Linked DNA regions of Macaca mulatta. The protein of the gene in region 3 interacts with the protein of the main gene of each other region in a pairwise test. Links are inferred from orthologs where the notes say so. Each region holds a gene or a part of one and is shown on either strand. Other genes may lie near its edges.

Region 1 (3,653 bases), on a different chromosome or scaffold from region 3:
CAAGGTGGGGACTGGAACAGGGAACCCTAAAAGGCGAATGAGAACTCAATCTTGTAGGAATTTTGGATTCGAGTCCTTTGTTGGTGATACGTGTTACAAATAACTTTTCCCACCCCACAGCTTCAATCTCTTAATGTTTTCTTTTGATGAACTTAAGTCTTTAAGATATAATCTTTTCCTTTATGACTTAATACTTTTTATATCTTCTTAAAGGCACTTTACAAAGGAAATCTTCATGCTATTTGACAAGAGGCTTGATCTGGCTGGGCACAGTGGCTCACAACTGTAATCCCAGCACTTTGGGAGGCTGAGGCAGGTAGATCACTTCGAGACCAGCCTGGCCAACGTGGTGAAACCCTATCTCTACAAAAAATACAAAAATTGGCGGCATGGTAGCACATGTCTATAATCCCAGTCATTCAGGAGGCGGAGACAGGAGAATTGCTTAAACCTGGGAGGTGGAGGTTGCAGTGAACCAAGACCACGCCACTGCGCTCCAGCCTGGGTGGCAGAGCGAGAGACTCCATCTTAAAAATAAAAAATAAAAATAAAAATAAAAGAGGCTTGATCTCATAAGTAATCAGGGAAATGCAGATTAAAGCCAGACATCTACTTAGTTGAGTATAATATGAAAACAAACAGGAACCAACCTGGGGAGAAAAATGAATATGAAAAAAATATAACCCAGTATACATATTTTTTCTTTTAAAAATAATAGAGATAGTGTTTCATCATATTCCCCAGGCTGGTCTTGAATTCCTGGGCACAAGCGATCCACCCACCTCAGCCTCCCAGAGTGCTGGGATTATAGGCGTGAGCCATCAAGCCCAGCCTAACCCAGGATTTTTAAAGGGGCAAATATGTGAATAAGCATTTCACAAAGAGGAAATCCAAATAGTGGTATTCAGCAAAAATCTTGACTCTAAGGGATGTGAACAGGTTCACCATTCTTCATTTCTAAGAGGAAGTAATTCATTCTGTAAGTATTAATTAATTTGGAGATTTCTGAGTCTCAGAACTTAAACTTTCACGACTTTCAAAATTATAAGGTTCATAATAGTAGGGACTATAGTTGTTTTGTTCAGGTCTAGAATAGTGACTGGCACTATCACACACACCAGAAAAGAGTTAAATACAACAATACACAAATGAAAAGAAGTAGGAAACCACAACGGTCTCGGTGTGAATTACCTTCCTGTGCTCTGACACTAGGAGCCTCAGCTGCATCTCAATGTCATTGCTTGTTACTGACGCGTCGATTGTGGACGCGCACAGAGGTGGAAAGGGAGGAAGGGATGTTGTAGCTCCAGGAGCACACACAGATTTAATTGCTTCCTCACTCATGGGCTTCCATTTGGATTCATCATTCAAATCAAAGACACAGGTTTCTACTGCATCAGACGGTTGACAGTTTCCCAGGAACATCTGATGGTTGAAAACACAACCAATCGTTCGATATGGGTACAGTGGTTTGGGCTGTTCAGCAACTGGAGGTTCATCAGGATTGGCAGGTTTATGGATGTACCTAAAAAAATTAAATAATTTTACATATGAGAACTTAAAAATTAAGAAGGCAGCATCTTACTGAGAAAATTATTCTAACACTTAAGGCCATAACTACTTTTTCAGAACTAGAGTTTAATACTTTTTTTTCTTTATTTCCACAATTTGATTACTCTGTATTAATTGTATGGTACATCTTACAATACTGAAACCAACTCTAAACAACAGAATACATTCTGTGTATACTGTTAAGATCAAAGGCCGGGTGCGGTAATACCAGCACTTTGGTAGGCCAAGGCAGGTAGATCACTTGAGGTCAAGAGTTCGAGACCAGCCTGACCAACGTAGTGAAACCCTGTCTCTACTAAAAACACAAAAATTAGCTGGGCGTGGGAGTGCGTGCCTGTAGTCCCAGCTACTTGGGAGGCTGAGCAACAAGAGTGAAACTCCGTCTCCAAGAAAAAAAAAAATCAAAAAAGTTTGCTTTAGATAACATAATTAAAATAATCTGGTTATGCATTTTTAGGCACAACTAACCAAAACATCACTGTGCATGATTATCAACCAGGGAGAAAAAGGACTCAGGGAAATGAAGAGGGCCCATGGCCAAGCCTCTAGAACACATGCATTTGAAGACAAGATGAAGGAAAAACTGCGAACAGCCAGAGAGGAATAATGAATACTGAAAGACAATTACAAGAAATAAGCTAAGGAAAGAGAATATCCCAGGAAGAGAAGTGAGACAGCCAGGTGGAAAGGGGTCCCCAGAGAAACTCCAACCAGCCTGTGCACTGGGAGGAGCGTACACTGGGGTGGAGCCACACAAGTTCAGCAATTTGCAGTGGGGAGGAGCCTGGCCCCTCCTCTTCCTGAGTGGACCCTGGAAGTGAATCTGCGAGGCGGGAAGCACACTAGCGGGCGCTCTGGCTTTGTGGAGGGTCCCTGTTTCCCAGTTTTTTTCCTTTTTGTCCAATAAATTCCATTTTTCTCCCCCTTCAAATTGCCTACGAGCCTAATTTTTCGTGGCAGTGTGACAAAGATCCAGCTCTTAGCTGAACTAAGGAGGAAGTCCTACAACAGAGGTACTCAGCTCTTTCAAAATCTGATGACAGGCTAAAGTACTTCAAAAAATGTGTCCAGTGGATTGCCAACATGGAGATGGTAACCACATCAAATTTTAAAAAGAAATAATGATTTACAACTTGAACTTATTTTCAGGCTTAGGGATGATCATCAGAAAAAAACATATGCCGGCCAGGCGTGGTGGCTCAGCACTTTGGGAGGCCGTGGCGGACAGCCTGCTTGAGCCCAGGAATTAAAGACCAGCCCAGACAACACAGCAAAACCTCATCCCTCCAAAAAAATTAGCTAGGCATGGCTGTGCACACCTGCAGTCCCAGCTACCCAAGAGGCTGAGGTAGGAGGACCACTGGAACCCAGGAAGGGGATGCTGCAGTGGGCTGTGACTGTGCCACTACACTCCAGCCTGGGCAACAGAGTGAGACACTGCCAAAAAAAAAAAAAAGAGAGAAAACTGAAAAAAAAAAGATGCTAATCATACACAACTAGTAAATATAATTTACTGTTTACGAACATCATGTTGGTAAAGAATATTTGAGGTAAAAATTTTCTTAGAGTTCATTTACTTAGCTGCCATAATTGAAGTACTTTTTTACGTAATCACTAAAAAGGCTCTAACTAAAATCATCAACACGTACCTTCAAGTACCATCAATATGGACAAAAAACCCTTATAATTTAAAATACTTAAAACTTAAGCTGGGCACGGTGGCTCACGCCTGTAATCCCAGCGTGATTGGGGGACTGAGGTGGGTGGATCACCTGAGGTCAGGAGTTTGAGACCAGCCTGGCCAACATGGTGAAAACTTGTCTCTACTAAAATTATAAAAATCAGCCAGGTGCAGTGGCGTGCACCTGTAATCCCAGCTACTGGGAGGCTGAGCCAGGAGAATTGGCTTGAACCTGGGAGGTGGAGGTTGCAGTGAGCTGAGATTGTGCCAGTGCACTCCAGCCTGGGCAACAGAGCAAGACTCCGTCTCAAAAAAAAAAAAAACTTATAACTTCATTTTAATATCCTTATACACTTAGTAGACTAACCTGTGTCCTGTTAAACTCTCCCAAAAAGTGATG
Region 2 (2,307 bases), on a different chromosome or scaffold from region 3:
GCCCAGAGCTCCCCTCCTCCCCTAGGTTCCCATGTTCCCCCAGTTCTTGCCTCTCCTGCTGGCTGGCTGGGAAGGCCCTCAAGGATGGGGCCCAGGACAGGAGGAAAGGGTGACCCAGACCCCCACCAAGCTGGACAGGCAGATGGTAGGCAGGACACACCTCTGCAATCTCTGGTAAGTGACAAGCAGAGGCCTCCCAGGGACAAGAGCTGAGAAGGAGCCCCTGGCTGGGCTGGGACTGCCAAACAGCTGGCTCAGTGCCCCAGGGCAAGCCCAGATAAGGTGACATAGTGGCAAATGTCTCTCCTGGGCAAGCCTGGAACGCTTCACAAAATAGCTCTTCAGCTGAAGCCAACTTGGAAAATTCCAGGGAAAAGGAAATTTACTATGGGGCGGGAATAGCTGAGCCTTAGCTTGGAACATCCAGAGCTCAACCTGGGGTCCCAAAAGCCACTAGAAGGTCGACCCGGCCCCCAGAGCCTGCACAGGCTTTGCAGGCACAGAGGCCCAAGCTTTAGGCAGGTCGCTGGCTTACAGGGGAGAAAATAGTCCCTGGGAGCATGAAGGAGGGACTCGGCCAGGCCCACCAAGAGGGAGTCCTTTAATAGAGATCGGCACAGACAGGAGACACAACAGCCCGGGCGCCCTGCTCGCACAGGCTGGGGCCCTGAGCCAACAGATGCAGTGGCTTCCTCCTCCCCACCTGGGTGTGGAACCATGGGGTGGAGACGGAGAGGTGGCTTTAAAAAACACAGCTGTACTAATTCTTCACTTTCACAGAAACGGGGAACTTGGGAGCGCAGCCCGCTAGAGAATCTTTACACAGAGCTGAATCTGAGAGCCCACCCACCCCCCTTGGCCGGGCCAAAGCTCATTGTCCCCCACCCACTGGAGGTTCCTCCCTGATCTGTCTGCACATGGGAAGGAGCAGAGTGCACAGGGAGACCGGGCTGTACAACAGGAACATGCTGGCTGGACAGCTGGCTCCCCTTTCCCAGCTGTTAGTGTTTCTACACTATGTACATTGTTGTGCTTTGTAGCTCCCCCACCCCGAGGATTCTGCCTGAAGCTGGGGTGGGGAGAGGAACCCGACACGACACATGGCTGGGCTGCCAGAGCTCCAGGCCCCCAAGAGGCTGCCATTCAGCGAGGTTCCAAGAGCTGGACTGCCAGGCACAGGGACCACTGGAGCCAAAGGCGCAGGGGACAGAGCCAGCCCCGCCAGATGCCCAGCTCTGCCCAGTGGAGGAGTTGTTGAAACAGAAGGATCAATGCTGGACAAGAAGCAGGCTGGGCGGGGGCAGGCAGGGGTGGAAGGACAAGGTGTGAGGCTGTGAGACCAGGGGTGTGAGGTGTGCGTGGACAAGGCTGGAGAGGGCTGGGCAGGGGCACCTCAGCAAAAACCGTTCTGCAGCAGCAGGCTTGGTAGAGGGAGGTGGCGAGGGCTGCCGGGCTGGGAGCCCCTCCAATCGAGCACAGGGCTGGCGGCAGAAGGCTCTGGCTCCAGGTGTGTTTTGGGGGAGGTTTGGGAGAGACCACCGGGTGTCTCAGGGGGCTGGGCATGAAGGGCAGGGCTGTGGTGACATCTGTGAGCGTGTCCCCGCCAGGCCTGGGGTAAACACAGGATCAGTTGTTCTCAAACAGAGAGAGCAGGTCGTCATTGTTGTTTGTGGGGAGGTCGGGCGGTCCCAAGTAGGACAGTAGCTCATCAGGGTTGGTCAGTTCTGGGAGCAGCTGAGGACAAAGTGAACTATGTTAGCAGCTTTGGTCACTGGCCACACCTGAGTGACCATCCTGTCACCACATCCCATCCAGGTGCAGTGGGGATGCTGAGCAGCCCCTCCCCACACACAGGCTGGGTGCGGGGCCCCACTATAGGCCTGCATGTGCTCAAGGAGGCACACGCCACCCCCGGGACCTCCCTGCAAGGCTGCTGAGGCCAGAACAGCTCGCAACATGCTGTTCAATACCACCAGGAAACGGGATGTGAGGGAGCACAGCCACTCCACACATTCTCTGTGCACCGGCCTGCGTGGGGATCCCCACCGTGATTCCCCAAGGTGAATGCTGGTGGTGGAATTCCATGCCCCTAGGATTTTCTGCTTGGAGCTGTTCTTCCTAACTTTTTTCATGTTGAACTTCAATGAGTTTCTATTATGGTCCAGGGACAGTCAGTCCTGTCTTCCATGTACTGAGTGTGCACTCCCATTCTACCTGTGAGTCAAGGCCCAGGGCTACTGAGCAAATGGACAGATGAAATCTGACTCAAAGGACTGTGCTGTCAGCTTCCAGCACAGTCTCCTCTGA
Region 3 (3,626 bases):
AAAAAAAAAAAAAAAAAAAAATTATACGTTTTATTTAACCCCATCCCTATGTGCTTCCTCTGCATTCTTAATGCTAAGAATCCTCCTTTGTCTTGTTGGTAGAAATTATTAGGGTTGAATTACATTTTTTTTTCTTTCTGATTATGACATCAGATCTCAAGGATCATAAAGTTTAATTCACCTTGGTTCTACAGATTGACTGATATCAGAAGGCTGATCTGTGGTTTGAAAAAGACTGAAAAGAAAGTTTCCAACCTCCAAACAAAACCCACACAAAAGCCTGGTGGTGGAAGGTTCTAGGTAGAGAAAAATCTAGACAATGACTGGACATAATGGGCAAATGCCTACCTTTTGGAAATACAAACTCCACAGGGAACAATTTCCACAGGGAAGTTACATTAACTGAAGGCTGTCTTAGGACAAGGCTGAATAAAGTAAATATTTCAACACCATATGTTCAGCTTTGGCAGGAGATGTAGGTGGGAAGGGAATCTCAATGTTGGAGAATGCCCATATCACACCCCAGCTGGCTATGTAATCATGAAATAAGGAGAAACACATAAATATTTGGTTAAAACACCTTTAATGATAGAGGGAAAGACACTAATATCTCCCCTGTCTGTTGTTGACATTTTACTAGGTGAGGAAGCTCTGGAGCCTACAGCTTGAGGAGAAGCCATCGTTCAAGTCAGTCAATAGCAAAATCCTCACTCTCTCCTCCTCAGAACTCCTGTTCCAAATGATCCTATGTTAAGAGTAAATACTACATCTCATTACAAGACAGAGAGGCAGGGAGGATGCCACCTGGAGCTGGTCTCCCAAAGTCTGGGACTCTAAGAACCAGACAATGACAAAGACACAGGCCCCAGCCTACAGATAGGCAAAATGGGGAGGATAGGGGTCTTGAAAGAGGAAGATAAGGAAAATACAAGGGGCCAGGGAATAAAGGAGGGAGTTATCTAAAACTAGAAGCATACTAGTGCTAGGAAATCCCCCATGATCCCTGGAACACCTCTGCACACTATGTCACTATTAGCCCAAAAGAATATTAACGAGAATGTCCACATTCACAATAATTTGAGGCCCTTTCCCTTACATCATGCCCCTTTCTTAGTCACATAGGTACCAGCAAGCCCTATGTTTTAGCAACATTCCATAACTCTCTCATCATTACTTCATCGACCATGCTGACCAACAATGCCCCTTAAAGATATGAACTTCACATTTCCCAGATATCTCCTGGGAGACCTCTTGGCAAGAAATCAGCTTGTTTCCCGACTTTGAGAGGCCATGATGAATGAGAAGCTGGAGAGGTCTCGGCACACTGACCAGCCAACACCTTTACTTTAATGTGACCATCAGGGGATTTACGGGAAAATTTTCCTATGCCCTTCATTTCTCCATACTTCCTAGGGTTGGGTCACCAATTACTGGAGCATCTTCAGTACCGGCACCTTCTGGAGGAGGGGGAGGGGAAAGGAATATACAGTTTGCTACTTCTTGTCTATGATGGGCTTCTCAGGCACTGCCTTGGTTGCAGGAGGCTGAAATAGGAGGGGAGCTGTCTTCTCGTTGGCTTCCCTGGATCCCATTGTTGGAGGCACCTTCCCAGCCACAGTTCCTAGGCCAAACAGCACTGGTGGGGCCAGGCTTGGAGTGGTAGTGGAGGTGGAGCTGGAATTCCAGGGCTTCATGGGCAGGCCACTTGACAGGAATGCCACATACTGGTTCTAGAAAGATAGGGGACCCACACCCACCAGCTGAGCAGAAAAGTCACCCCAGAGGAGTGACACTGGGCCCTCAGAGACAGCTGCCAGCCCTTTGGGCTAGGCTGCAATTCCAAATGTAGGTGCTCAGGTGCACCTGCCAAAGGGAAAGGGAGAGGAAAGAGGAGGGGAAAGAAGGGTCACACCAGGGAAGCTGGAGAGGGTTCCTCTTGAGAAAGCTGCAGAGAATCTATTTTCCTCAGGTACAAAGAATGACGAGGTAAGAAAAATTCCTTAGGGGGCCATCCCCTTGTAAGCACAGTAATTTCCAAGCTCAGGGACTAGAGAAAAGCCACTAGGGACATATGTTAAGAACTTAGAGAAAAAGACAAAATCAGGGCTCATAAATCTGGGAGGTCCTTTTGTGAAGGTGTTTCTGCTCTGTGGGACAAAGAGCAGCAGGTACAGAAAAACAGGCTCATGGGATGGTGGGGTCATCTTTTCGGGGAAAGGGAGAGAGCCCTGTGGAGGTGATGGAAGGTGAACAGCCAGGGACTAAAGAAAGAGCAGCAATATTCTGAGGGCCATGGGGGGCAAAGGGCTGTACCTGGTGGTGTGCCAGTAGCATATGCTTCTTGAGGGTAGCCCGCTCAAGAAAGCCCTGCCTGCAGAAAACACAAGTGAAGAGCGGCCCCTCCTTGGGGTGGGTCTTCTGATGCTCCTCCAGAGCTGCCTGGGAGGGAAAGGCCAGGCCACACACTTCGCAGGCCTTTCTGCTGCTGCTCTCTCCTGGCTCCTTTCTCATTGCCTCCTGCAGGCTCAGCTCCTCTACCAAGGTTACGCTGGTGCCTTCCCCTTCTGGGGTGAGTGCTGATGCTGGGCTTGAGCTTCTCTCCGGTTTGCCCCCCTCTTCCTTGCCTCCTAAAGCATCACTGCTTCCCTGCTCCATTGGCTGAGGCTGATCCAGGCTCTCAGGTGGTGGTAGTGGTGGTGGCAAAGAAGACTGCTGAGTAGCTTTCTCATTACTGTCCATCTCCTTCCCAGCTGTGACTGCTGCCGCCACTGTCCCCACCTCCTCCTCTGCCCCAGATGCCTCTTCTGAATCACCTCTCACTGATATTGCCTTCTCACCTCCACTCTCTGAGCCTCTCCCTGCCAGGGAATCTTCATCAGTCACATCTTCTTCTTCTTCCTCATCCTCTTCTTCCTCCTCCTCAGACAACTCCTCTTCTGGTGATGGCTGCTGGGACTGCTGCTGGGGGAAACTCCCTGCCCCGGAGACTGTAGATTGCTCGGAGCCATTCTCTTGAGCAGCTCCTCCACCTTCAGGGAGTGCGGTACCACCATTGGGGATCTGGCCCCCCAGGTGCATCCGGACATGCTGCTGCAGAGTGACAGCATTGGTGAACTTCTTCTGGCAGATGGGGCAGGAGTTCTGTGCCCGGGCAGCTGGACTGGCCTTGTGGCCCACGAAATGTGCACGCAGATTACCCCTGGTGGAGAAGGCTCTGCCACACACTTTGCATTTGAACGGCCTCTCACCTCCATGTTGGCCATAATGAAGGCGTAGGGCCCGAGGACAGCTAAGCACCCGGAGACAGATGACACACTGGTTAGGTCCAGAAGAGGCTGAGGATGAAGCTGCAGGGGCAGAGGTGGTGGGGGCTCCTGAGGCAGTTGAGGTCACTGCCACAGCTCCTTGCCGGTCAATCTTTTCTACCAGTTGCTGCAGCTTTGATGTCTCAGAGGGTGAGGCCCCCAAGGGCTCTAGCACATAGGGGAAGGGGAAGCTGCCAGTGGACTTGAAGTGGTTGGTAAGCAGTGCCCAGCTCGGTAGTGAAGTCACCAACTTACTTAGCTGCATGCGAGTTGCTGTGCTACTTTCTGCCACTCCACTGATGGCTGAGCCCTCACTCCCTG

What was found.
Region 1: the proteins of SALL2 (region 3) and CEP76 interact in binary tests that used the Homo sapiens proteins (3 or more experiments, as listed by UniProt). The two-hybrid records come from large-scale screens. The link is inferred for Macaca mulatta from reciprocal best matches to the Homo sapiens genes SALL2 and CEP76.
Region 2: the proteins of SALL2 (region 3) and ZMIZ2 interact in binary tests that used the Homo sapiens proteins (3 or more experiments, as listed by UniProt). The two-hybrid records come from large-scale screens. The link is inferred for Macaca mulatta from reciprocal best matches to the Homo sapiens genes SALL2 and ZMIZ2.

What each region holds. Positions count from the first base shown.
Region 1 is NC_133423.1:83,353,168-83,356,820, forward strand, and holds part of CEP76 (centrosomal protein of 76 kDa), read right to left. Parts: coding exon 3,621-3,653; intron 2,207-3,620; exon of another isoform or gene 2,030-2,206; intron 1,526-2,029; coding exon 1,192-1,525; intron 1-1,191. UniProt on the Homo sapiens protein: Centrosomal protein involved in regulation of centriole duplication. Required to limit centriole duplication to once per cell cycle by preventing centriole reduplication.
Region 2 is NC_133408.1:83,668,862-83,671,168, forward strand, and holds the end of ZMIZ2 (zinc finger MIZ domain-containing protein 2), read right to left. Parts: intron 1,735-2,307; coding exon 1,627-1,734; 3' UTR 582-1,626; downstream 1-581. UniProt on the Homo sapiens protein: Increases ligand-dependent transcriptional activity of AR and other nuclear hormone receptors.
Region 3 is NC_133412.1:94,382,418-94,386,043, forward strand, and holds the end of SALL2 (sal-like protein 2), read right to left. Parts: coding exon 2,314-3,626; coding exon of another isoform or gene 2,185-2,313; exon of another isoform or gene 1,961-2,184; intron 1,731-1,960; coding exon 1,494-1,730; 3' UTR 567-1,493; downstream 1-566. UniProt on the Homo sapiens protein: Probable transcription factor that plays a role in eye development before, during, and after optic fissure closure.